7 linked regions of the Mus musculus genome follow. The protein of the gene in region 1 binds, or shares a complex with, the protein of each later gene. Links are inferred from orthologs where the notes say so. Each region holds a gene or a part of one and is shown in the gene's direction. Other genes may lie near its edges.

The links.
Region 2: Snrpd1 (region 1) and Srrm2 share a complex: the UniProt entries of both Homo sapiens proteins name them as parts of the minor spliceosome. The link is inferred for Mus musculus from reciprocal best matches to the Homo sapiens genes SNRPD1 and SRRM2.
Region 3: Snrpd1 (region 1) and Lsm8 share a complex: the UniProt entries of both Homo sapiens proteins name them as parts of the U4/U6-U5 tri-snRNP complex. The link is inferred for Mus musculus from reciprocal best matches to the Homo sapiens genes SNRPD1 and LSM8.
Region 4: Snrpd1 (region 1) and Sf3b5 share a complex: the UniProt entries of both Homo sapiens proteins name them as parts of the minor spliceosome. The link is inferred for Mus musculus from reciprocal best matches to the Homo sapiens genes SNRPD1 and SF3B5.
Region 5: Snrpd1 (region 1) and Ppil2 share a complex: the UniProt entries of both Homo sapiens proteins name them as parts of the minor spliceosome. The link is inferred for Mus musculus from reciprocal best matches to the Homo sapiens genes SNRPD1 and PPIL2.
Region 6: Snrpd1 (region 1) and Srrm1 share a complex: the UniProt entries of both Homo sapiens proteins name them as parts of the minor spliceosome. The link is inferred for Mus musculus from reciprocal best matches to the Homo sapiens genes SNRPD1 and SRRM1.
Region 7: Snrpd1 (region 1) and Snrpe share a complex: the UniProt entries of both Homo sapiens proteins name them as parts of the SMN-Sm complex. The link is inferred for Mus musculus from reciprocal best matches to the Homo sapiens genes SNRPD1 and SNRPE.

What each region holds. Positions count from the first base shown.
Region 1 is NC_000084.6:10,616,317-10,620,595, forward strand, and holds the start of Snrpd1 (small nuclear ribonucleoprotein Sm D1), read left to right. Parts: upstream 1-1,479; 5' UTR 1,480-1,596; coding exon 1,597-1,610; intron 1,611-4,279. UniProt on the Homo sapiens protein: Plays a role in pre-mRNA splicing as a core component of the spliceosomal U1, U2, U4 and U5 small nuclear ribonucleoproteins (snRNPs), the building blocks of the spliceosome.
Region 2 is NC_000083.6:23,801,938-23,806,024, forward strand, and holds the start of Srrm2 (serine/arginine repetitive matrix protein 2), read left to right. Parts: upstream 1-1,287; 5' UTR 1,288-1,461; intron 1,462-1,717; exon of another isoform or gene 1,718-2,060; intron 2,061-4,087. UniProt on the Homo sapiens protein: Required for pre-mRNA splicing as component of the spliceosome. As a component of the minor spliceosome, involved in the splicing of U12-type introns in pre-mRNAs.
Region 3 is NC_000072.6:18,847,458-18,851,434, forward strand, and holds the start of Lsm8 (LSM8 homolog, U6 small nuclear RNA associated), read left to right. Parts: upstream 1-1,177; 5' UTR 1,178-1,275; coding exon 1,276-1,306; intron 1,307-2,168; coding exon 2,169-2,209; intron 2,210-3,977. UniProt on the Homo sapiens protein: Plays a role in pre-mRNA splicing as component of the U4/U6-U5 tri-snRNP complex that is involved in spliceosome assembly, and as component of the precatalytic spliceosome (spliceosome B complex).
Region 4 is NC_000076.6:13,007,041-13,009,683, forward strand, and holds Sf3b5 (splicing factor 3B subunit 5), read left to right. Parts: upstream 1-1,409; 5' UTR 1,410-1,582; coding exon 1,583-1,843; 3' UTR 1,844-2,143; downstream 2,144-2,643. UniProt on the Homo sapiens protein: Component of the 17S U2 SnRNP complex of the spliceosome, a large ribonucleoprotein complex that removes introns from transcribed pre-mRNAs.
Region 5 is NC_000082.6:17,094,253-17,097,752, reverse strand, and holds part of Ppil2 (RING-type E3 ubiquitin-protein ligase PPIL2), read left to right. Parts: intron 1-305; coding exon 306-397; intron 398-958; coding exon 959-1,048; intron 1,049-1,672; coding exon 1,673-1,748; intron 1,749-2,709; coding exon 2,710-2,870; intron 2,871-3,500. UniProt on the Homo sapiens protein: Has a ubiquitin-protein ligase activity acting as an E3 ubiquitin protein ligase or as an ubiquitin-ubiquitin ligase promoting elongation of ubiquitin chains on substrates.
Region 6 is NC_000070.6:135,343,147-135,346,646, reverse strand, and holds part of Srrm1 (serine/arginine repetitive matrix protein 1), read left to right. Parts: intron 1-201; exon of another isoform or gene 202-1,977; coding exon 1,978-2,148; intron 2,149-2,667; coding exon 2,668-2,783; intron 2,784-3,500. UniProt on the Homo sapiens protein: Part of pre- and post-splicing multiprotein mRNP complexes. As a component of the minor spliceosome, involved in the splicing of U12-type introns in pre-mRNAs. Involved in numerous pre-mRNA processing events.
Region 7 is NC_000067.6:133,607,481-133,611,518, reverse strand, and holds the start of Snrpe (small nuclear ribonucleoprotein E), read left to right. Parts: upstream 1-1,238; 5' UTR 1,239-1,301; coding exon 1,302-1,355; intron 1,356-1,774; coding exon 1,775-1,801; intron 1,802-2,559; coding exon 2,560-2,622; intron 2,623-4,038. UniProt on the Homo sapiens protein: Plays a role in pre-mRNA splicing as a core component of the spliceosomal U1, U2, U4 and U5 small nuclear ribonucleoproteins (snRNPs), the building blocks of the spliceosome.

The sequences.
Region 1 (4,279 bases):
CTCCACATAGCTGAGAGAGAATGAATAGGTTTTAGGAAGATTTATAACATTCCACGTACAAACATCTGAAGAAAAGAGTGAGCTTGATGAACTCCGAGATGTTAGACATTTCTACAGACGTGAGGGGAGAGGAGATGGGTCAGAAGGAAGCTGGCCCCAAGTGGAAAGGGGATTTGGGGTTAAGGAACACCAGGTGATCAGTACTGGCATTATTGCACCAAATGATATGCACAATGTATCCTTATAAAGCATACATTTTAATGGAGGGAGGTATTTAATTGTTCATAAATATCAATCAAGAACTGTAGATTTATCTTGCCATTACTAAAATTATTTTGAGTAGAAAGTATTAAAATTACCCCTGAGTCACCCTGGTTGGCTTTCCAGCATAAAACAGACAAAATCATTCGAGAGTTGTGTGAACCTTTCTGCCCAGACCTTGGACTAAGAATGTACCTGGCTCTGATTAGCTTAAAATAGACAAGGTATAATCTTATTTGGCTGAAATCTCTTTTTAGGGGGAAGGGAAGGTTCGAGATAGAGTTTGTGGCCCAAACTTGGACCACCATGCCTAGCTATGAAATAACGTTTCCCCTGTTTTATAACCCACATTACAAGGACCTCTGCTTTTCTTAATGTCCAGGCCCATTGTTCTGTTATAAGTCACCCTTAAGCTGCACACTGCAATTCTGGACTTGCCTGCCTCTTTCTTTGGTCTCATTGATCCTTGGGACCAGTTCCCATACATGGGGACAGGGGTGTTTGTTGACAAAATCACGTTCCATGTAAGCAGTTTTGGAGAGCGCAGAAAGCAGTTGTATTTCCTTGCTTTTAGACACGATATTCTCTCTAGAGCCATAAATAATAAATTATAGAATCAAATGATAATAAACTAATATCATCCAAATTCTTTCAAAATTATTTGCACTATGTTTGTAATTAGAGACAAATGTATATGTTGAGTAACTACATTTAACAGTGTGGTTATTGCAAATAAGGTGTTGAATTTTTTGTTTTAACTTTAACTGAAATATCCACATACATTTTTTTAAGTCGAAGGACTTGCTATATATAAAATTTATTTAAAACTCTGTCCTGAGAGTGGTTTTTCTAGTTTTAAGAAGGTACCCTGCATCCCCAAAGGAAAACCATTCTGTCCAAAGATTTGATTGGCTTAGCTTAATGTCAAGCCAAGTAAGGACATCTTGCAGGACCGAGTTCCCTGCTTCCAACATGTGAATCCCAAGTATTAAACTCGAATCTTAGTGGGCTTCTTTCAGAACTTCTCTTCCTTTAACATGTGAAAGTTCCAGGCCTTCACAAGTAGTTTTAATAACTTCGTAACTGGTCTAAAAAAACCTGCAGAAGATGTCGTCCACCAGCCCTCCCGCCCTCCGAAGGTGCAAAGCACTCCTCCCGTCGCTAGGGGCCGCTGTCGCCCTCCCGGTGGCCGGAAGGCAGCGCAGCTTCCGCGTTCTCGTCGCGCGTCCGCAGGCCTCCGCGCGCTTTTCCGGCCATTCATAACCCCAGTCCGTGGATCTCTGGAGCCTGAATTCTGTGAACAGTCGGGCCAGAAGGGAGAACTGCGTCGCTAGGATGAAGCTCGTGAGGTGAGGAGGGTACCCCCGCCGGGCGAGGACGACGGGTAGAGGATTTGGGGTCGGCTCGGGAGGCCGGGCCGCTGTGCTCCCAGGGAGGCGGGAAAGCCGCGTGCGCGCGGCCTGCTAACGGCCTCAGGCCCCCGGGCCCCGCCGCGCCCTGCCCGCCGCCCAGAGCCCGGGCGAGGGGCCAGCGCGCAGACCCCGCCGGTCTTCCAGGAATGGAGGGGCCGAGCCGCCTCTGCCCACCCAGTATCCGGCAGCTTAAACGGAGCAGTGGCCCGTTTTCTTGGCGAATCGGACCATTTGCACTGAGGAGGACTTAGTAGACCTAGCATGGTTTTATCTGCAAATGATGACGCCGATTTGCAAGACGTTTTAGACTAAGATCTCCTTAAATTTGACCAGTTATACGAAGTATGTAAGTGGTTAGTGTAGGCTTCTAACTCAGGAAAGACAAAATGTCCTAGGATGGGGCAGAAGGTAATAAATTAATTTCGCCTGCATAGTTAATATCGGAAGTGGAGCCTAACTAGAGGCATGCTGGTTTAATTCAAATGAACAGGCTTGGGTCAAGCCTGAGGCAGGTTATACAATATCAAGCAAATAACTAGAAATATTTAGTTTCTTGTTGAGTCAAGACTGTTGTAGTTGGCCAGAATGGCATTGAACACCTTCTGAAGTAGTTGTACATAATTCACAAGAATTCTTTTAAAACATTTTTGAAGTTTTTTTAACGGTGACTCATAGCCTGCTTGAAATTGGAAAAAAAAAAATTACTTCAGGAGGAATTTGAGGGAGAAGGCATTTAAGGTTAAAAAAATTTTCCCCTGTTCTGGGGATGGCACGCAGAGAGCTTCTAATAGTCACTTAACCTTGAGCTCAGCCCCAGTTCATTTGTATTTGGACTGTAACCTAGGTAGAATGCTAAGACTTGCCGTTTCTTTACTCCCTGATATGAACTATAATGTATTTACAGTAACATGTTCATCTCATTTAAAGGTTCTATTATGATAACTTTGCCAGCATCCTAGGCAGGTGCTCACTCTCCTGCTGCTGCTGCTTTGATTTGTCTTGGACCCTATTTTGTATAGCGCAAAGTATAGAGATTTCTAATTACAGGAGAATTTTTTTTAAAGATGTATTTATTTTATGTATGTGAGTACACTGTAGCAGTACAGATGTAGCAGTTGGGGCCTTCATGTGGTTGTTGGGAATTGAATTTTGGACCTCTTCTCGCTCTGGCCCAAAGATTGATTTATTATTATAAATAAGTACACTGTAGCTGACTTCAGAGGGTGTCAGATCTCATTACTGGTGGTTTTGTGAGCCACTATGTGATTGCTGGGATTTGAACTCAGGACCTTTGGAAGAACAGTCAGTGTTCTTACCTTGCTGAGCCATCTCGCCAGCCCCCAAGGGAGAATGTTTTTTGCCCTGTGAAAATGGTTGACTGGTTTGCACTTTTGGTGTGGGCTTTCTTATTTGTGCATGAGTTTTGTATTGGACTGTATTGCCTGTATTTATCCCGTTGCCACCTTGCCCAAACTTAGGAAGTGTGCTTAGCTACCTTTCTCTTAATCCTCCTGGCGTCTGGTAAGTTGCCAGGTTTCTTAATTTTTCTAACTGGAGATACTTCTCACTATCCAGTTCTCTTTGGTTTTCTATTCAAATAGGAAAAATTTGGGTACTAAAAGGACCCCATACACTTTACTGTTTGATGTGCCAGTCTCATTAAGAAAAGAATTCACAGCTAGGTGATGGTGGCCCATGCCTTGAATCCTCACACTTTCTCTGCGTTCAAGGCCAGCATGCTGTACAGCGGGAGTTCTAGGACAGCCAGGGCTACACAGAAAACAAAAGTAAGAAGAGAATTCACAAAATGAAGGACTCACTGGAAAATAATTTGAATTTATGTGTTCCTTGGCCTCTTTTTACTTTTATATTGAGACAGGGTCTCACAAGTTGTGCTGCCTGACTTGAAATCACTCTATCTCAGCTGACATTAGATTGAGAATCATCCTGCCTCTGCCTCCTGAGTGCTGGGATTAGAGGCCTTCACTGCCACCAACCAGCATCTCTAGATAGCATAAGGGAATTTTTGTTTCGTTTTGTTTTGTTTTTCGAGACAGGGTTTCTCTGTGTAGCCCTGGCTGTCCTGGAACTCACTCTGTAGACCAGGCTGGCCTCCAACTCAGAAATCCACCTGCCTCTGCCTCCCAAGTGCTGGGATTAAAGGCATGACCACTGCCTTGCTCATAAGGGAATTCTTCAGCAGAATATTTTCTTCACAAAAGGACCCTGTTCTCCCCACCTCCTCCTTTCTGAGTGCTGGAATTAAGTCTTTGCCACCGTGCCTGGCAAAATACTGTTTGTAATGTAGTAGTTTAAGGTTGCTGAAACGTTCAGCCTGTACTTGGTGTGTGTTACTATAGAAAAGTCGTGCTACTTACTTTCTCATGGGAGAATGGAATAGGTAATATCACTCGTGTAGTTTACTGTAGTGGATGTTATAGGAGTGCACAATGGATATTGTAGAAAAATAAGTAGACTGGAAAATCTGAATATGAAGTGTTATTAGATGATATTGTAGATTATCATTCCATTGCCATTTGGCTAAAATAAAGCATGAGTGATAATGTAGAATTCCTGGTGGGTTACATTCCTGAATATTAATAGAG
Region 2 (4,087 bases), on another chromosome or scaffold:
TCCGAGAGGAGCCCCTCGCTCAGGCCTCAGGACAATATCGGACACCCAAGAACTCATGACAGACCGAGCTTGTTGCAAACCACATGAGGCTTTATTTGGGGAAAGCCAGAGCTCTGGGGACAACTCATATCCCACGCAGGGGTAGAGGAGTCGTCCTCGAGGGGAAAGAGTTTCCAGTTTTTATAGGCCCTCAGGGGGGAAAGGAGAAGGGGGAGATTAGGGGATTTCCAGATCTAAACAATGTCTATTCTCAAGAAATGGGTATGGAGGGGTACAAGGAGAGTCTAATGAAGGTGCAGCAATGAGCACACACCTGGTCAGAACATTGGCAGACACACAGGTTCAAGGAGTGGCCAGAGCATTGTGCACCTCTATTTTTCTAAATCAGTGAAGCTAGTTCTGCTAACACTGACGTCTATCTTGCCAATTTCAGGGCTTCTGTGTCCTTTTACATTCTGCCAGGATCTTTCAGTGCCTCAGTGGTGGGGCCCTTGCTACCGAGTGAGAGGCACTGGGACAAACTCCCGGAACCGTGCTATAGGGCCAGGAAATGGAACTGCATTCTCACATTCCTCCACTTACATGGCATAGTCTCTATAGGCGAAAAGTAATCACTTAGTCTCTTTGCCCAAAGGTAAGAGAAAGTATTTTTTAGTGGTCTGCAAGCCCCACTTCAGATAGGACTACAGAGGTGGAAACTGTGGAAAGCACCGGATACTGGGCCAGAAGCCGGGTTCAAGTGGCTCCAGAGCTGTCAGGTGGCTTGACTCTGAAGCACCTCTTCCTGCGAAGAAGACTCGGTGCTGTGGGGCCTCGTACACATTAAAGAAAACCATGGTCACAGTGACTAGGTAAAGCTGCTGAGCCACTGCCACCCAACACGGTCACATAAAATGGCGACCCTGCCTAGCGGAGGAGTCTTACGCGTTTTCTCTCTAAAACCGAACTACAGCTCCCAGAACTCTGTGCGCGGAAGGCGTGCGTCTGAGCTACTCCCGGGTGTTGTGGGTTGCGGCCCCCGCGCCCCTCCCCCCTCCTACAGAAGTTTTTTTTCAGCCGACCTTGCAGCTTCGGTACGGAGCCACGCCTTTCCCCGCAGTGCCCGACGGGACTCGGGGTTTTTCGACTTTTCAGTAGCACGTCCCTTCGCCTAAGGTCCTCCTTGTGGCTTCAACGCCTGCGCACGACGCACTACGGTTCCCAGAGGGCCCAGCGGCTCTCATGATTGCGTGCTGACGCACTAGGTCGTGCTGACGCGCAACGCTGCCCAGGCGGGGTGCGAGTGGCGCAGTCGAAGCCCGCTGCGGCCCCTGAGGAAGCGAGGAGGCGGCGGCGGCGGCGGCTGAGGCGGGCGGACCGACGAGGCGGCGGCTTCAGGCTCCGAGGGATACGAAAACTTAAGCAGCAGCTGCGGCGGGACCTCCCTGTTTGACAGTCGGCGGCCGGAGGCGGCGGCGGCGGGTGAGAGAAAGGGAGCGCGCTAGCCGGGTGGGGGAGGGGCGGCGGGCTGGGCCGGAGGCTAGAGCGCGGGGAGAACGGCCCAGGCCGCCGCGCGCACGCGTGCTCGTCGCCTCGGCCGGCGCGGTCGCCTTCCCTTCCTCCCCTCCCCCTCCCGCGGTTCCTGGGACGCGCGGCCTTCAACTCCTCCGCCCCTCCCCCACACGGCCGCGGCGCGCGCGGCCGCCTGGTCTCGTCCGCGCGCCCCCGGTGAGACAGCATTGCGCGAGGCTCTGCTTCTCTCCTTTGCTCTACCTGGGGCTGAGGAGGCCGTCGTTCCGCGGTCGTCCTCTTCGGTCTTTTAGGGGGCGGGGAGAGGGCGGCAGCGGAGGTACTTGTCCCCCGCCCGAGCTTCGGACCTGCTGGTACCTCTCCTCGATCGGCTCCGGCGTGGGTCCACGGGCCCTGCTAGGGGCCTGAGAAACGGCCAGAGCCGCCCAGACCGCGGGGCGCCGCGTGGCCCCCTCCCCCCTCCTCGAGGCCGAAAATAAGCTGGGCTGCCCAGTGGGCGGCGGGAGGAGGCCTTGAACTTTCGGAGGCCAGGATTTAAACCGTTCGTCCTCGTTAGTATCAGAGGCTGTGAGTGTGTGCGTGGGGGTGGGGGATCCCCAAGTCTTAAAAAGTGAGGATAATAAAACCGCGAAAGTATTCAGCCTGCGTGTATAAGGAAGACCAATGTGCTCCTTTCAACCCTGTTATTTTATTTCTTTTTTACGGTTTGGTTTTATGAGCTAGGGCCTCTAAATAGTCTTGGTTGGTCTGGCACTAACCGTGTAGATCAGGCTAGCATTGAACTCAAGAAATCTGCCTGCCTCTGTGGGATCAAAGGCATGAGACACCATGTCTGGCTCCTACCCTGGTTTTTGTTTTTTGTTTTTTTTTTCCCCGGAGACAGGGTTTCTCTGGCTGTCCTGGAACTCACTCTGTAGACCAGGCTGGCCTCGAACTCAGAAATCCGTCTGCCTCTGCCTCCACACCCGGCTCCTACCCTGTTTTTAAAAAGGTCTCCTCAAATATTAAAGCTAAGCCTTTTAGAGCTTTTCGATGGGGAAAAAATTCTTGACTTAATAGCCTGGCTTCAGTCAGCCATTACTTGGTGATGACGTTCTTCCTTGCTGTTTCCATCTTACAGTTCTTTTAAGATGTCTCTTAATTGTGGATTCAAAAGGAAACTATTGCCTTTTTCCGTGGGAGTGGGGCCTAGGCCTGGATGTATACTGTAGCTTGTATGTTTCATGGTGCCTATGCAGTCAGTAGTGTCTCAGCTCTGAGTTCTCTGTATTTTTTACTCAGCGTCCTTTTCCTTGATCATTGCTGTTCTCTCGGTCGCTGTTTCTTGAATATCTTAGTTTGCTAATTTTCTACCTCTTTGTATTTTGGCATTCTGATAAGTTTTCCTCCCTTGCCGGCAATTTGTTCTTGGAGAGGCTTGCATGCTTTGGGCTCCTGTTTTAAATACTTCCTGGTTTTGGTAGTTGTGGTTTCCCTTTTAGTGTTTCAAGCATTGTTTTTGGCTGCTGGTATGTAAGTCCCCCCTCCCCCTTTAGCTCGTCTCTGAAAATTCTCCAAAACTGTGACTCTAATACTTTTTGCTTAGCTTTCATTCTTCAGGTAGGGTGTGGGAGGATTTTTGTGTGAAATGGTGAAAATATGAGTGGTTAGAAGGACTGTTAGGTGAGAAAGCAATATAAGCCCTAGATTTAGAGTGAGGAAGGATTGGTTTTTCTTTTTCCAAGACTATCAAGAGTGGTTGTTAGAAGGTACTACAGAAACATTAGAGGGGGGGGGCTGTAAAAAAGGTTTTGCATTTCTTAGATTTAGCCTTATCTCTTACTCTTGTTGTCTCTCCTAGATTTACCTTTCTTGCTTTTAGTTTCCTCTTGTGTTAACTGTTGAGATTGAGTAGGACTTATGTTAGGCTTGAGGATGAAATGGGGCAAAAGTGCATCTGGGTGTTTGCTTTACATTCAGCATCTTCCTTGATTCCCCCCCCCCCCCCCCCGCACTTTGGTGACATGTCCCCATCCCCAGACTAGGATTTTTTTTTTTTGTAGCCATGGTTGTTCTGGAACTTGCTGTATAGACCAGATTGGCCTAGAACTCAAGAGATCCACCTGCCTTGCTTCCCAAGTGCCGGGACTAAAGGCAGTGCCACCAGAACCAGGCAACACACTTCAGTTTGTTTTTTGTTGTTGTTGTTGTTTTTTTTTTTAAACCGGGCATTGATATGGTACTATTTCACCCAGCTCCATCTCTGCTATCTGCTTTTACTAACCTCTGCTTTCCCCTGTGTGTGTGTTTTGATGCTAGTTTTCTTTCCCATGTTTGAGACCCTATTTTGGAGAAAATGTGTTAGAGGAAAAAAGTAAAACATACATAGTTAGAAGGGAATAGGGAATGAGTAATACAGTCCAAAAAACTGGAGCTTGAGAGTTTAGTGATGCTGAGCTTGGAACACCATGAAAAGGTAGAACCTTACAGGAAAACTGTTAAATTGGAGAGTAAAGCAGGACTTAGAAAAACAATGAAGTGTCAGAACAGGGATTGATTGATTGATTGAAAGTCAACACTTTTACATTAAAGGTATGGA
Region 3 (3,977 bases), on another chromosome or scaffold:
CACTGAGCATCCGCAAAACTGAAACTGCGATCGCACCAAACTTAGAAACAGAACACAGACATCAGAACACAGACATCAGACCAAAGCAGAACAAAGAATCTTACCTCTAAGTGGGTCTAGGACCTCTGGGTGGTCGCGCTGTTTCCCGGCCAATGCACCAAATGAAAGACCCTCGAAGGGAGACCCTCCCTCAGACACTTAAGTCCCGGGACAGCCGCGTACCCAAGAAGACACTGAGACCATACATAAAATGTAGAAGGTAAGATTTAATAAAGTAGCAACAACATGAAAGCACACAGACCAGAGCTCTGGGGTCGAAATAAAGCAGCAACAGAAAGCACACAGAGCTCTGGGGTCGAAACTCATACACCTTTGCACAGGGTAGAGGAGTCTCGACGGTCAGCCAAAATTTTTCACAGGCTTATATAGTAAAACTCAAAGGGGGAGAACTGGGCAGGGAAAGTACAAGTTTACATCACTAGGGAGTTCTGCCAAAGGAATCTATGTAACTAAGGAGTCATGTCCTATCAAGGAACCTACGTAACTAAGGAGTACCTGGTTCATTTTGAGGTTGTTCCAGGAAGCCTTTATCTCAAAAATGTTTTCTAGATGGGAGGGGGTGGGCTCCGAGGTAAAAAGTTCATGTTCTTACAAGAGGCCAGTAATTTTTCATTCTTCAACACTAACATTCTGTATACAGTTGGATTCTCCGAAAATGCACATCATGGAGCTACAATATGCTCCCTTTGTACTGGGCTATTTGGCTTTTTAAACTTTTCTGGCTCACGCGTGAGAAAGCTAGAACTCCCTCCACCCTGCATCTATGTCGCCTATGAGAACAAAGAATCTCTCTCCTTCAGTAGCCAATGCTACCATCTTCATGTCGTGTGTCTTCCGGCAGAAAGTGTCTTCCCACACTACCTTTAGTAACTACCACAGTGTCTTCCCGTCCGCTAGAGCCTCCTTCCAGGCTCTCCTTCCAGCCCACCTTCAGTGACCTCTCCATAAACTGCCTGTCCCCGCCTTGGTCTCGGCGTGCGAGCGCCGCCCAGAAGCCCGGCGGAAACACACTGCGCATGCCCACTAGTCAGCCCCGCCCGGCTTCCTGTTTGGCCGGCTCCTTTCCGTCCCTGATTCGTCGCCGCTGAGGCCTCAGAGTCTCGCGGTCTTTGCGTTCGCCAGCGGGCGCGAAGCTGTCCGGGTTTCTGTCGGGCGGTGTTTTGTCTCCTCGTTGCCGAGCCCTCGCAGATTCCCGGGACCTCCGGGCCCAGCAGCATGACGTCTGCTTTGGAGAACTACATCAACCGTATCCTCCGGCGGGCTGCTGCGACCGCTCAGGCGGCGGCGGGGGCGGGAGGGAGCACGGGAGGCCCGGAGTGGTGGGCGGTGGGCGGAGGACCCGGGGTCGGGGTTCGTGGAGGGAGCTCCCGGCCGGCCTCGGGGCTTTTTGCACCCACAGCACAGATCTCGGTGTAGTTCGAACTTCTCTGCACACGGCCTTTGATCGTGTGTCCCAACATCCGGAATAAGATGCACTGTTTTCCTAAGAACTCTGCGTTTGCAGGTCCCCCAAGCAGAGATAGCATACAACAGATAGATGCTTCTCAGATTTGGGCTTCAGGTCCCATACCTCTGCTTGAAATCTTGTCATGGTGTTTAGAGAGTGGCGAGTAGCTTTTAAAAGCCCGGTTGAATTTTTTAAGTTAGAATTGCTGTTCTAAAGTCGGGGCAAAACCTAAGACACATAGTTAAATACAGAGAGCTTTTAATGATACAAGAATTATTGGTACTTGATGGCATTAATTATGACAGAGTCTTGGATGAGAAGGTCCTTTACTTGCATAAAGTAATTCAACATTAATTAGCACTCACCTAGTTTTTATTTTAAAGCTTAAGAAATGAGTCTGCCTGACTCAGTGTCATAGGTTGGAAACACTGCTGTTTAAACCAGAGTCAAGCGGTCACATACCCTTCTCCCATGTGATGAACTGTTTTCGAGGTACAATTGAAACAAGTTTAAAAACTTCAGTTTTCTCCCTCAAGAGCAGTGGCAGTGTGGAATCTTGATTCTGTCTCTTCTTTCCTTTTTAAGTAATTGGAACTCTTTCCAGGCTGAAAGTTTTCAGGTTGTATTCTTTAAGAAATACGTTCCTTGACTCGGTTCTCAGGGACTGTGGCTGTTATTACTTCTGATGGCAGAATGATTGTGGTGAGTGACATTTCCGTTTTTCTCTTTCCTTAGGCTTATTGATTGCAAATTTGAGGTAACATTTCTGGCCTAGTGTTCAGGCACCACAGCACACCTAGTTCACTGCTCTTATGATTCACCCATTGATTCATCCATTTAACCTTAGTCTCTTGGCTACCTGTACAGATTCTCTAATCAACCTTGAAGGCCTCTGATCTGAAATGGAGAGCTGTGCAATAGCTGATTGGTTTTCTTCTTGTGTCTCTTCCTTATGCCATTAGAGACCTTAAACGATTTACATATTATGTGTATGCCCCAATAAATTGCTTATCGACGAGGTGATTTAATCTGAGAAGTGTGTCTTCAGTGATTTCATTGTTCTTCCAAAAATAATAAATGGTTTTGGAAACTTCAAGTTAGCTATGACTTCACTGGTGGTACAATCTTTGGGACCATTGCCTTGTCTATCATCTTTGATTGAAATATTTCCTGTATGAAATTTAATCCCATGTTATCCCATTCTGTGATTTTTTTTTTAAGATTTATTTTTGCTCATGTTTGTTCATGTATGTTTGTGTGAATATCTGCTGTATGTGTGGGGGTACACTACACAAGAAGGCCAGAAGAACTAGAGTTGCAGGTCTTTGTGAGCCACAATGTATGGGTGCTTTGGAGATCAGTATGTACTCTTAACCACTGAGCCATCAGAGCTCCTTAATTTTATTAATCCTTTTATTGTTTTTCATAGGCCATACCAGTCAAAGTGACAAAGACTAAATGCATATCATGTGCTAAGTATCTTGTGTGTTATTTAGTCTGACATACAGCCTTGTGAAGAATTACCACTAAGCCTCATGTTTAAATATCTTGTTTCTGTTACAAAAGGTTTACAGAGGGAAAGCGGAACAAAAGTATTGACATTGATTAGTTCTATCTTATCACAAAGTCGCCTGATAAAATATTTGTGTATAAAATGAAGGTGAGAGGACTTTTCTGGGGTTTTATGATAACTACTGTTTACCAACTACTATAGTAAATAGTCTAAGTTTTTCTTTCCAGTTTCTAGACTCCAAGTTTCTATTTATTCTGATTCTATATAGTTATTTGGATCATAAGTTTAATGGCTGACCCAAGAGATTACCCAGTCAAATCCAAAATAAGCAATTTCTTCAGAAACTTGAATAGCATCTGTAATACTATATTTTCCTAGAACCATACAGTTTTTCCTGCGTATTTCCTTCAGCTTAAGTTTCTGATTATTTCAGTTCTAATATGTCTACTGTAATATTGAGAGAATTCAGTTTGACATACACACAAGACACAGTGTTGGCAGCAAGGAGATATGAAATATTAACTGTAAGTATCACCTAGTTTACAGTAACACTGTTTACAACAAAGGAGTGTAGTTACTTTGTAATCTGGCTCTGGAGCTGTTTACCATCCATGAAATCAATCTTGAGCCATTTTTTCCTGGAGCATCAGCTGCTTTATTTGAAGTGGGCAAAACAAATGCTGACTGGAAAGATGAAGGAAAGTAGAGGTGATTCATGGAGTGTATTTCTTCAGTCCAGGACCTTTCTGGAAGAAGCAATATACAGTGATCTTTTGCACTGATGGTTTGTGGTTCACCTTATTAACTTAAAAAAAAAATCATTTCCCCTTAAATCTGTCCTGTTTTGGTTCATTCTTAAGTGCTAGTTCCTAGACCGTGTGAGGTCACTTACTTTAAGAATACTGGTGCCTGCCTGTCCCTTGCAACTCCCAACAACTCTACAACAGTGAGATTGAT
Region 4 (2,643 bases), on another chromosome or scaffold:
ACAATTAAAGGGTTAAAATGAAGCCTGACAAGGTGACTAAGCCTCTGATAGATCACTTCAAAGTCTGAAGCAGGTGCAGAGAATTTGAGTCCCTGTCTCAATAAATAAATAATAAGAGACAGGTATAGTATGGCTGGATGGCATATCCACAGGTATTGCCGTATAGTCTCTATATTTTAGGAATAAGATGTGTATTATGTTGTCTAAGTCTTGGTGTTGGTTGGTTTTATTTTTTTTTGAGACAGAGTTTCTCCTTGTAGCCCTGGCTGTCCTGAAACTAGCTCTGTAGACCAGGCTGCCCCTGAACTCAGAGATCTGCCTGCCTCTGCCTCCCAAGTGGTGGAATTAAAGGTGTGTGCCACCACCACCTGGCATGATGCTTATTATGACAAAATTTAAACAGAAGAATTAATATTGGATGGAGCGGAACTCACCTCTAATCCCAGCATTCAGGAGGCAAAGGCAGGAGGATTGCTGTGAGCTCAGGGCCAGATCCTCCCCCCACCAAGTAAACAAAAGTACCCCCAAACTCCTGTATTTTCAAATTGTCTGTCATTGTCCATTCTCTTTGGCTGTGACTGCTCTTACCCCATTCCTAAAATGGTTTTTTGAGAGTACAATCTACATCAGGCTATACATGTATCCTTAAGGGATACCATAAAAGAAGTACAATTATCTTTTCTGAGTTGTTTGTAACGTGAGAAAGTGCACAACCCCCAACGTAAGGCAGTAATCAGCAGAAAAACACAGGTGACTAGAAAGAGAGGTGTTCTTTCTATCTATCTATCTATCTATCTATCTATCTATCTATCTATCTATCTATCTATCTATCTATCTATCTATCTATCTATCTAGTCTTGAACCACATCTGACTTCAAGGAATAGCTTTTGAGTGACCTAGAGCAAACAACCCCTCAATGGGTTGAGAAACGGGAGCCTGGAGCTCGTTGTGGGAGCCATTAGTGAGACTACTGGGGCTGACACTGATCACCAAAAATACTTTTCCCAGTGCCCAAATTCTAAGAGACAAAGCTGGGACCGCGGGGGAACCATGCTGCCACGTTAGCTTCTAGGTACAAGAGTTAATTTTCCTGGTTGCTTGTAGTTGAAACCCTCTTGGATTTCCCCTTCTTAGTAGCCCAGAGCCGTGGGATAACTCTCAGAGGCCGTTTGCCATCGTCCTACAGCAGCCAGGCAAAAACAAAACAAACAAAACAAAACCCTAAAACAAACTCTTTGGACTACTTGTTCCAGAATGCAACGCTCAGACTAGAACGTGATCACCCGAGAGCCACTAAGCGGACCATCATGCAACACTCTTCGAAGTAGGCGGGCTCCGTGAGGAGACGGCCCAGTGTTTCCTAGGCAACTCCAATCCCGCGACAGACGGCACTTCCGCTTCCGCCTAGGAAAAGACTGTCTACTCCTGCGTCTCGGTGGCGTCTTTCTCCCGCGCCTGCACGAACTGAGGTTTTGCGTGGCGGCGGCGGCACCGGCAGCGGCAGCGTCTCTCACTTGAACGCCGCGAGCGGCAGCTTCTCGTCTGTGTCCTGACCTCGGAGCCTACGAGCAGAGCGGCGCGATGACGGACCGGTACACCATCCACAGCCAGCTGGAGCATCTGCAGTCCAAGTACATCGGCACGGGCCACGCCGACACCACCAAGTGGGAATGGCTGGTGAACCAGCACCGCGACTCCTACTGCTCCTACATGGGCCACTTCGACCTCCTCAACTACTTCGCCATTGCCGAGAACGAGAGCAAAGCCCGCGTGCGGTTCAACCTGATGGAGAAAATGCTGCAGCCCAGCGGGCCGCCCGCGGACAAGCCCGAGGAGAACTGAGGTGAGCGCTGCCCAGTCTTCCCCGTGTGCCGGCTGCGAGCCTCCTTGCTCCTGCATCTCGACCATTCCGTGTTGGCTGTGTCGCCTGACCTGCGTACCTGTGGAGGATTCGGAACAAGTCATGGAGAGACTGTCCGGGTCCGCTCCTTGTGAACTGTGCAGAAGGAGTGATCCCAGCATCGGCAAGCGAGGGAGAAGACTGCACGAGAGTGATGCGCATTTCGAGTCTGCTTTTCGATAGTTGATGTCTTCTTGCCTTTTTAAAAAACCATATATATATAAAGTTTAGGGTTTGCTCTATTCTTTGGTATGGATTGCTGTGTTCTTTGGGAGGTTATTAGGAGAGGGTTCTGTGGATCAAGGTTTTGTGAGAGTATAAATAGGAAATGGGGGCAGAAGCACAGGGCAAGTCCTTAAGTCGTCACACACACTTTTATGATATTATCCCACCTCAATAGTCTTCACGCGTACAGTGTGTCTGGTCCCAAAGAAACCTTGAAGCGCGGAGATTGCCCATATCCCTTTCCTACCCTTCCCTTTATGCGCTACCCCTTACCCCTTTTTCTTGATGATTACCCTTTGTGTCTTCAGAAATGATAAACTGGCAAACAAGTGGTATCACGTCCCCATCCTGCTCAGCGCCCCATTCCCCCCACCCCTCTTCCCTTTTCACCAGAGCATTTTCCAAAGGTTTGAGGGCATACATTATGCCAGCTTGAAGAGTTTACAACTTTAAAAACCATGCTTACAATGCTACTTTACTGAGATGTCATTTGAGAACAGATTTTAAGGAATCAAGA
Region 5 (3,500 bases), on another chromosome or scaffold:
CCTCCGTCTCTTTTTTTCCTCCTCTGTCCCGTCCTCCCTGTCTCCCTCCAGCCTCCCTTCTTCCCTCTCTCCTCTCCTGTGGTACTTGTTGGATGTAGAACTTAGCACATGCTAGGCAAATACCCTGCTGCCACTCCCTTTTAGAATTCCACTTTGAGACAATGTCGTGGTAGATTGTCCAGCTAGCCTTGTACTCTGTTCTTCTGCCTTAGTTTCCTGGGTAGCTACAGTTAAAATATGTACTATCATGATTGTTTAATCAAAGCCCTTGAGGGCCACTAGTCCTGTGTGTGCTTTCTCTCTAGGGCAGTACCACTGTCCAGTGCTGTATTCCGTGTTCACTGACAACACCCATATTGTGGCCATCAGGACAACTGGCAATGTCTACACCTATGAGGTAGACCCCCATTGCAATGAGTGGGACTATCTAATGTTGGGCCCGAACGTGTGCCTGGCTGAGTGTTGAGGTTGAACCAGGAACAGTGAGCATGCCTGTCCTCATACCTTTCGTAGCCTCTAGCACAAGACATTATCTCTAAAATAAAGGTCAGGTGACTCTAGTGGCCTTTGGACCTCAAACCCAGGCTGGCAGTTTGGGCTGCCTAAGCAAGGATTCCTTGTAGCCTGGAAAGTATTACCCTCTCTTCAGCATGGACCAGACTCTGGAACAAACATGGGAGTAAAGGGAGATAAAAAGAGGCCAGGTTCTTAGGACAGGGGCCAGGTTGGCAGGAGGGACATGAGCTGTCTCCATTCCTGGCTCAGTCTAGGATGAGGACAGGCATGATACAGGAGGGCCCATGTTGGAACTCTTGCCAGAAGCGGCCAGGTTGGTTTGGCTAGTCTCTGCCAGACAGGTGAGAACTCTTGAGACTACCCCAGAGTGGCCCTGTGTGCTTGTTTACCTCATACCTCTGTGCCGGCCCAGAGGAACTGTGATATCTCTGTACTGCTCTAGGCAGTGGAGCAGCTAAACATCAAGGCCAAGAACTTGCGGGATCTGTTGACTGATGAGCCCTTTTCCAGGCAAGACATCATCACCCTGCAGGTAAAGAGCTTCACAGGAAGTGCCTTGCCTTGACCCTCCGCTCTGCCCTCTGCTCTGCACTCTGCCCCCCAGCTTTCTTCACCAGGCTTGGTGGTCACCTGTACCATAACACCCCTGCCTGCTGCTACCCAACTATTGCTTAGTGCCACCCCCTCCCCCTACAGCCACCATGGACCATGACTGCCTCTGGCTCTCATGGCTCCTGTATGAGGGCTACACTTGCCTCATAACTCTCTTAGGTGTTAGGACACTTAGGCTGCTTTTCAGGTCCCATCCCTACTCTCAGAACAGCAGCTACACAGTTGTCCCCGTGGTGGTGTGTGAATGGCCTCGAGGGAGCACAGGCTAGGATAGGGTTAAACGACTCTGTGGTTGTTACTGAAGCTTGGTCCAATGGCTTCCCAGTCCACATCCTGTGCTACCTGGCAGCAAGCCTCATTCCTTATTTTTGAGGCCTAAGGCAGGGCACACTGCTTGATGAACAGGTAGGCAGTCTGTGCCATCTTGCTTGTCACTGGGTTGGGGCACAGCCTTGGCCTCCTTCCAGCCTTCAACATCTGGCACAGGTGGGTGAAGTGCTTGACACAGTCCATTGTACTTCTGAGTGTTCTCTTCTTTTCACAGGACCCCACCAATTTGGACAAATTCAATGTTAGCAACTTCTTCCATGTGAAGAATAACATGAGAATAATAGACCCAGGTATGGACACCTAAAGGCTACTGTGAGTGACTACATGTTCTCGGGCAAGTCCTTCCTTCTGGGGGGCCCAGACACTATGCTTCTGAGTGGCTTTTGACTATCATGACATTTGCTGTATAGATGAGGCTGTCCTTAAATGTGCAGCATCCTCCTGTGTTTCCCTTCTAAGTGCTGGCATTACAAGCGTACACAACCATGTCTGTCAGACGGTTAGAGAAGCAGCTGAAACACAGACACCTACCTTTCCCTAGCTCTGGTGGGACTGTGCTTTCTGGATTGCCGTTGGCCACTGTTCTTTCCAGGGTACAGTGACAGGGCTGCAGGTGAGACTGGGTGACATGAGACTTGTCTAGGGCCCTGACCTTCCTGCTTCCTGTGCTTGGTCCACACCATTGACCACACTGTAACATACTGTAATGTACTATAACATACTATGCAGTGGCTCAAGTTTCTGAGCTCACTTGTGCCATGCCAAGGAGCCAGCTACACACAACTCAGGGATAACTGCGCTCAGGAGACCCAGAGGCCAGGCCTAGGGAAGCTCACTGCCCAGTAAGTTACAGCCTTTGGCCTAGCAGGCAACATGTGGCCTTCCTTCCCTTGAAATAAACACGTTTAAATTCACAAAAGCAAAACATCATTGTGAAAAGGCTGCAGTAGAGGTAATACAGGAAACAGGGTGACTCCCACATCCCTTCAGGCCTGGGGCCACTCACCATGACAGCGTCTTCTGTGTGCTCCACCAACCCCCTTGTTGCACCTACTAGAGCTCCTGCCAGATGATCAAGGGCAGTAAGTCATGGCTGTGCTAAGACCAGCGAACCCTGCCCTAATCAACTCACCTGTGGCTTCTTCTCATGTGGCCTTCCCCATCTCTATTCCTATTAGCTCATCTTGAGGCTCTTTGGGGCCTTGGTTTTCTGGGGCCTTGGCTGCTCCGTTCCAATATACTGTTTTATAGATGAGGAAAAGGCCAAACAAGACCCATCTTATTATTTGAAAAACACAAATTCGGAGACGAGAGAGACGCTACAGGAGCTCTACAAAGAGTTCAAAGGAGATGAGATTTTAGCAGCTACCATGAGGCCACCTGAGAAGAAGAAGGTGGACCAACTGAATGCGGTGAGTGGGGCACTCTGCCTGACCGAGAAAGATCCCAGGGGAGGTGCTCACGGGGCCTAGATGCATTTGCTGGCATGGTGGCAGGGACCTTCCCAGTGCTGTTGGGCCCTCCAGGGCTGCTGGGGTGACTGGGCCCCAAACAGATCAGGAGGGAATAGCACACTCTTGGGGTGGAGGAATGGTTGACAAGCTGGGGTCCCATGGCAACAGTGGCTCAGCAGAAATAGGGCTGCCTTATGCTACTGGCCCTGACACAGGCTTCAGTGACCAATGTTCCCGCTTTCTTTGGTGTTCCAAAGGCAGCTTTTACATTTCAGGACAGAGATAGGAGGGTGTGCAGATCTGTGATGGCAGGGAGGGCTAGGGTTGCTATAGCTACTAAGGTCTCAGCCCTTACCTGGGCCCTACCGGGGACGAGCATGCTTCTCTGCCCTATGCCGTAGCTACAGCTGTGGTGCTGGAATTTCTTTAGCACATTTAGCCGATAGGTGCTGTCTTTCTCCCAAGTAGACTGAAGTCTGGAGAGCCTGAGCCATGGGGAAGGCAGAGGTGGAGTCTCCCACATAGGGATTTTCTAGGAAAATGTGGAAAACCAAAGTTCATCTATAATTTCCCAAGCTGAACACAGCT
Region 6 (3,500 bases), on another chromosome or scaffold:
AGAAGGGTTACTGTACAATGTTTGTTGTGAGAAGAATTCACTTTGTAAAACAGCTGTTAAGGCTGGAGGTCTAGTGAAGGTGCATAGTTTTGAAAGCTACACAGGTGAAAAAATCAAACTTACTGTTTGTAATTTTGCTGTTACATGTTAAGTTACTTTGACAGCAATTTTCTAATGATAATGTGATTTATGATTTAAAAGGCCTGAACCAAAATGGAAGTTATTCCTTGCGTCTGAAGTATAGCACCATCACCTTATTAGGTCACAGCAGAGTGAGTGTCCCAATGTCGCTCTGACCCAACTCCCTTGATGACGCAGTGTGTGTTTGGAGGTGAGTTGTGTAAAGTGGCCGAACATCAACAACAACAACAACACAAACAAGAGCAATTGGTAAAGCTGTGTACTGCTCTTTAAAGTAGCATTTTGAGGTGGACATTTATTTGAAGCATGAGGGGCGATCTGATTTGACTGGATGTTGCTTTTAAAAGAACTGAAGACTTTAGTTGTAGTTACAAGTCAGTTGCTTACCAGTTAGAATTAAGGCACAGGATTTTATTTACATTGTAGTTAGAAGTTCAGGCAGATGGATTGGCAGTCCTATAAAAGCCAGTTAACATAATTGTTTCTATCTTCCAATATGAAATAATACAAGATGATATAACTGTTTACAATTATTTCTGTTGTAACATAGTTTGCTATTTTGTCATGGTACCCAAAGGACAGTAAAGCCGTACCATAAAACCTTTTGGTAACTGTACTGACGTGAGTTTACTTTTACATTACTCCTGTTCCCAAGAGTTCATGCTTGAATTTTGACAGAACAGTTATCATTCCAAACGATAAGGTATTTCATTTTTAAAACAATGTGGTAATTATTTTGCTTTGAATGTTTTTTAAGACTTAATTTTAAGAAAGGACCTTATGTTTAAGTATATTTATTTATTTCCTTTAGAGACCAGAAACATGGGAGGATGTTTTTTAAATGCTTAATTTACTATTTTATTAGAGAAATGCTTTACTGACTTGAATTTTAGTGAACTTTAAAACCTAAATACCTGGTAGTATTCCCCTGTAGTGAGCATGAGATTAAAGTGTAGAGCTTTTTAAACAATCTTTTCTTTTTTTGTGGTTGTGTACTCATTATTGCTTGTTCGTCTTTTGCAATTTAGATAAATGATATAACATTAAACTCAAGGTGGTTGAGTTGCAGTAGGGAGTCGGAAGCAAGCCAAGGGAACATCTTTCTCTACAGGGGACTTGGCGATTCCAAACCCCCAAGGTTCCAAGAAGACACTGAAGACACCTGGAATCTGTACTTGCTTTGTGCTATTGAGCTGTGCTTGTTATACGGACCTTGTTGCTTGACCAACAGAATCTAGTGTTTAAAAACCCAAATTACTTGTAGAAATCTTGACTCTTAGTTTTGTGGACAGTTGAGCATCTGTGGCATTGTTAGTAACAGGTTGTCATGTGCAGTAGTCAGGCTTTTAGCTTAGTCTTCAGATGTTACAGAGTGCATGCTTAACTCGTTAGTTCTTGTAACTGAGCACTAGATATTAGATAGTTTATAGAAAGTTACCTGTAGTGTAAAGAGAAGTGTTTATGTACGTTTTCAAGTTTTGGTTGGGGCAAGTTTTCCAGCCAAGCAAAAACTGTTAGTAAATGCAAGAATTTATAGATGTTCCATGATTGTTTTTAGAGTTGATAAATGCATAAGCCCACTAACAGCCATACAGTCTAAATACTTAGGAAATCCACAAAGGCTGCTCTAATGCTTTTGGTTCAGTGAGGGAGAATTGGATTATCTAGAAATTACATTACCAAGATGCAACTAGGGAAAACTATTTTTACAGTAGTAGAGCATATATATGTACCTAAGCCCCTTATGGTAGACTTAAATACTAATTTAAATGAATTTCAGATAGGTTGGCTAGTTTCGAAGTAACCTGTTTTTCTTCCTGTCATGTCTTTTTGCAGAACCCAGATTCCAAAATGATGCAAATCAACCTGACTGGGTTTTTGAATGGGAAGAATGCTAGAGAATTCATGGGAGAGCTGTGGCCCCTGCTGTTGAGTGCACAAGAAAATATCGCCGGAATCCCTTCTGCTTTCCTAGAGTTGAAGAAGGAAGAGATAAAGCAGAGACAAGTAATGCTTTTTGTATTGACTTGAGATGTCATACACGGTCGGATGGTTACCCTGAGGGCTTTGTCTCTTTGAGCTACTGTAGCCTCTGATCCGGCTAGGCTAGTTTGCTGGATGTGTCTGCCCACTGAGTTGTGGCTTACCACATTTGAAATTAGAGTGGCGTATTCCCAGAGGCAGTGACAATTGGACAGAGTGCTTTGTTTTTGTTTTTCTCAGTTCTTAAAGTATAAGTGCATTTACCTTAAAAGGGAGTCTAAATAAAGTATCTAAAAAGTGTGTGCAACTTCTCGCACAGGTAGTAATTATAAAGTCCCAAGAGAGTGACTATATAAATGATAAGTGAAATGATATAAATGGTATAAGTTTACATTAATGATAAAGGATAAATGAAAGAGTGTTGTAAGAGTGAACTTGAGAACATGGAACACCTTGCAGCCAGTCACGCCTGTGAAATGGCAGTTGGAGCACCCGTGTCAGTACCTTAATGGATGCTCTTAGTGCTCAACTCTGTGCTTGCAGATTGAACAAGAAAAATTGGCGTCTCTGAAAAAACAAGATGAAGATAAAGATAAGAGGGATAAGGAAGAAAAGGAAAGCAGCAGAGAGAAGAGGGAGCGGTCTCGCAGCCCAAGAAGGTACGGCAGAGCAGCTAGAGATGTGGTGGTGTGTAAGGTGCCTGGGGTCCTTAGGGGTGCTCTGGTCCAAGTTCCCTAGCTAGAAGACCTGGGGAGCACCACTGGAGAGCTGCTGTTTGCTTCTGGGCTAAAGAGAGCTTTTCTGTTGCTAGCCTTTTGGCACGTGTTTTTATATTCAGGAGATTAAGGCAGTGGGGGTGTAGGGGTGGCTTCTTAAGCCTCTGTTCAAAAAAAAAAAAAGACAAAGCCAGATCATTTGACCAAAATGATCACCTCTAATTTAGGTGAGTTACTCATTCTTAAGTAGAAATTTGGATTTCATATTGCTTTGCTTAAGTAAGACATTGGAATTTTTGTTGTTACTGTATTCTGATTATTTCCAGTCCCTTGTATTGCAGAGCTGCTCATTAGCGTTCATGTACTTACCTAATTCCATGTTCTGCTTTTCTTAGATGGTTGTACTGAGCCCAAACTTCAAATCATTTATTTGTTTTCTTCTTTCTTCCAATGAGACTATTGTTAGGTTCACATTTTTAAATCCTCGGTTCAGCTTCTGCTATATTTGTGGTGAAAGGTGAGAATTCCATTAGGCTTTTCATTTTTAGGACTTTAAAAAATAAATCTGTGGGGATTTGTAATGAAAAGAGGAGGTAATATTTTTGTTGTTTGTGCTGAGTTGGAAAACCTAGAGAAGCAGTGCCTCTAAAGGCTGAGTGT
Region 7 (4,038 bases), on another chromosome or scaffold:
ACACACACACACACACATCCAGATAGCTCCTGACTTACAATTCTTCATCCTAAAGATGGTGTGAAAGCAATATGAATTCTGTAAAAAAAAAAAAATCAGACTTTGCATTTTAAATTTTGATCATTTCCCTGGTAAGCAGCTCTAGGTACTTTCTGGTGAGGTGGGGGGCAGCTGCAGCTTCAAGAAAGGCTGCTATGTTGTGTTGCTAAGCGATGGCATTGAGTAGACTAGGCATATACATTTTCAACAATTTTCTGTGTGCATGTGGAGGCCAAAGGATGTCATCAAGTGTCCTTCTGAGTCACTCTTCACCCTACCTTCTGAGACAGGGTCTCTCATTGAACCTAGGACTTGGCGATTAAGTTAGACTAGTTGGCCATCCAGCCCAGGCACCCTCCTTCCTGTCTCTGGAATTACAGGCATGTAATTTTGTGTAGGTGCTGGTTGACAGACCTCATGTCCCACCTACCGAATCATCTCCCCTGGGCCCAAGGTATCTGCATTAAATGCATTTTTTTTTAACTTACATTTCTAACTTACCTTAAGTTTATCAGGTTGTATACCATGTAGGTTGTTTTGTTTTGAAACAAGGCCTCATGTAGCTTAGATCTGGAACGTACTACTTAGCTTAAGGTCATACTCACCTTGCGCCTTCCACAAGCTGAGATTACAGATGTGTTCTAGGAGCACCTGTGCACTACTACCTCCCTGAATCTTCACCTCCTGTCCCCTTGCGGGACGGAGATGCTGAGGCCTAATGACTTAATTATCACCGGTCACACAACTGAGAGAGATCTGAGTCCAACAAGCCGATTTCAATACCTCCAAGCTAGTTAGATTGCCATCTTCAGTTGCCACTGCAACAGTTAACTCTGCATAAAGGTGATGAGGGTTGAATCTGTTATTGAACAAGCCACAACTCCACCACTGCTTCGGGCATGACCATCTAGACTAGCTCTGGGGCCCAAAACAAATAAGGGGAGTCTGCAGATGGTTCTGGACAAGATGCCGCCTCTAAATTCCAGAGCAGCTCTCAGAAGAGCACCTAGGCAGAGGCAAGCCTCTCAGCCTACCTCCAGGTGGCGCTGTAGGACCGACCTCGACTTCAAAGAGCGGTTGAGTCGGAAGGCCGCCGGCGGAGTCTATCAGCATAGAGAAAAAGCGGCTCCTGGCCTAGAGAGGCGTTCCCCAGGACCGGCCCGCGTCGCCGACGACCACTGCACTTCCGTTTCCGGGTCTTGCTTCCGGAAGTCGCTTTCCGAGGCGGCCTTCCTACTCGTGTGGTCTTTGTGACTTCCACCATGGCGTACCGCGGCCAGGGCCAAAAGGTGCAGAAGGTGATGGTGCAGCCCATCGTATCCTACGCTGCGTGAACTCGGGGCTTTGGGGGCCGTAGGCGCCGTGAGCGTGGGCGGGGAGCCGGGCAGCCCGCTGCGGGCCGCTTCCCGTGAGGCCCTGGGGCGAACGGGGAGGCAGGAAAGCGCGCGGAGTTGAAGGGCGGCGGGAGGCGGGAGGCGGAAGGCGGGCTCCGGGTGGACCCGGCCAGGCTGGCGATCCGCGATGAAAGCGGGGGATACCGAGGAGGAGAGGAGGATGTGGGCCATCGGGAAGGTTGGAGAAACGAGGGCGGTGGGGAGGGAGCGCATGCTCCCGGCGGTCGTTTGTGCTTGCGGATGTAGCCCGGCCGGACCTTGGGGCGCTGGAGAGTCCGGCGCGGTTGGGAGCGGAGGCTCCGCTGTTTGTGTAGTTCTTTTCCTTGATCGCCGTGCTGCAGAACCTTATCTTCAGATACTTGCAAAATGTACGTAAGTTGTTTCCTTACTGTTACTGAAATGAAAGTTGGGCCTGTTTGACTCTTTGTAACAAATTCTCTGTTTCTAGTGCTTAGACTAAAAAATTGGGGGGGGGGGAGAACCAGAGTTGAGGATAAGGTCACAGGGAAAGCGCTAATTATTAATATGTCCGTGCTGACTTAAGGATGCACACAGTTACCATTATTCTGTAAGAACAATGTAATTATATTTACTATTAAAATTACTCTGTAAGAACGATTTGTCATCGGATTTAGCAGTGACAGTTGCATAGTGCTTTTTCCATAGTTGGACTTAGAATGGAGAAAAGACACCAAAGCGGGGTTTGGGGGAGTGGGGGCGTTATATACAGAGAAGCGAGTGGCAAATGCTCTTCTTTGAGGAGATTTTAGCGATGTTTATTTTAGAGTGTTACAACACAGATGAAAAATCGTTTTAAGCCATTGTAATTTTTAATCGCCAGATTCGCTTTGTACTATCCTGTGAACAGTTCTAACTGTAAGTGTATTCATGCCAGAAGCAAAAATAAATTTTCAGAGTAGGAAAATTAGTTTGGACAGGCCTGCCCGAGCACTTATTAAATGTTTCTCAGCAGGTTAACCAGTGTTGCTAGCTCTTAGATGAAGACTAACTAGTTCTAGTTTTTGGCTTATATTTATTGGAATTTTTAAGATAAGTCGTTTATTGTGGAAACAAAGTAATGGAGTGGGATTTGTTTACATTTCTAAAGTCATTATTTTTATTTCAGAGATCTCGAATTCAGGTGTGGCTGTATGAACAAGTGAATATGCGGATAGAAGGTTGTATTATTGTGAGTACCCAGGCTATTTTTCCTCAAGTTGTTATTAAAAAAGACATCTCAGAAGATGGCCAGTAAGAACAATATACAAGGCGTCAAGGACCCAACCCAAAGAAAGCTCTTCAGAGCTGGAGTTATTTATTTAGCCTTTTCTCCTTGCTCTGGTTAATAGGGTTAGATAATACTTCTCTTAAGAGGAAGGGAAGGGAGAGGTTAGGCGGTGGTGGCGCACGCCTTTAGTCCCAGCACTCGGGAGGCAGAGGCAGGCGGATTTCTGAGTTTGAGGCCAGGCTGGTCTACAGAGTGAGTTCCAGGACAGCCAGAGCTACACAGAGAAACCCTGTCTTGAAAAACCAAAAAAAAAAAAAAAAAGGAAGGGAGAGTTAAGACTTTTAAGAAGAGCTTCGTTTGTGAGGAGAGGGAACAAAAACAAAATGAGAGGGGGGCGGGGAGTGATAAAGGACTTGCATTCTGGATTAGATCATGCCAGAATAGAGCTGGTGGGGGTGAGACTTATGGTTTGTTAGGCTTCTATCGTGATGGTGTTGGGGATCAAAGTACCTGCTCTACCACACAGCTACCATGGCAATAAGTTTTTGTTGTTATTTTAGATTTATTTGTCTGAGTGTTTTGCCTGTGTGTGTTTAATGCCCAAACAGGCCAGAAGTTGTTGGCTCACCTGAAGATGGGTGATTGTGAGCTTCCATGTAGGTGCTGGGAACCAAACCTGGGTCCTTTGCAAGAGCAGCAAGGAAGGATTTGTAACTCCACCACCTCTCCCGTCTCTGTTTTTCCTTTGTGTGAGGCAGAGTCTTTTAAGAGAGACTTACACATGGAAATCCTCTTGTCTGAGCCTCTTCAATGTTTAGATTAATAGCCATGAAAATGGAAAAAAAATTTTTTTAAAGATTTATTTATTTTTATGTGCAATGGTGTTCTGCCTACTGTTATTTGTGTGAGGGCACCAGATCCCCTGGGACTGGAGTTATCAACAGTTGTGAGATGCCATGTGGGTGCTGGGAATTGAATCTGGGTCCTCTGGAAGAAAAGCCAGTCTTCTTAACTACTGAACTGTCCAGCTCTGGCATTGTTATTTTGAGGCAAGAAATTGCTATGTAGCCCAGTAAAGGCCTTGAACTTCCCATCCTGCCTCAGCCTCCTGAGATTTACAGACGTGCTCAGCCTCACTTTTTTTTTTTCTTTTTTGCATCAAGGGAGTGAGTGGGGTTGCTTTGTACATACTCATATGTGTGGATGTATGTGCTAGAGGTATCTTTTATTGCTCTCTGCTTTTTGAGCCTGGAACTCATGGATTTAACAAGACTAGTTGGCCAGCACTAGGTGCGGCTGCAGGCCACTGTGCACTGCATTGTTTGAGTAGGGATCCAAACTCATGACTGCATGTACTTTACCAATTGACATGTCTCC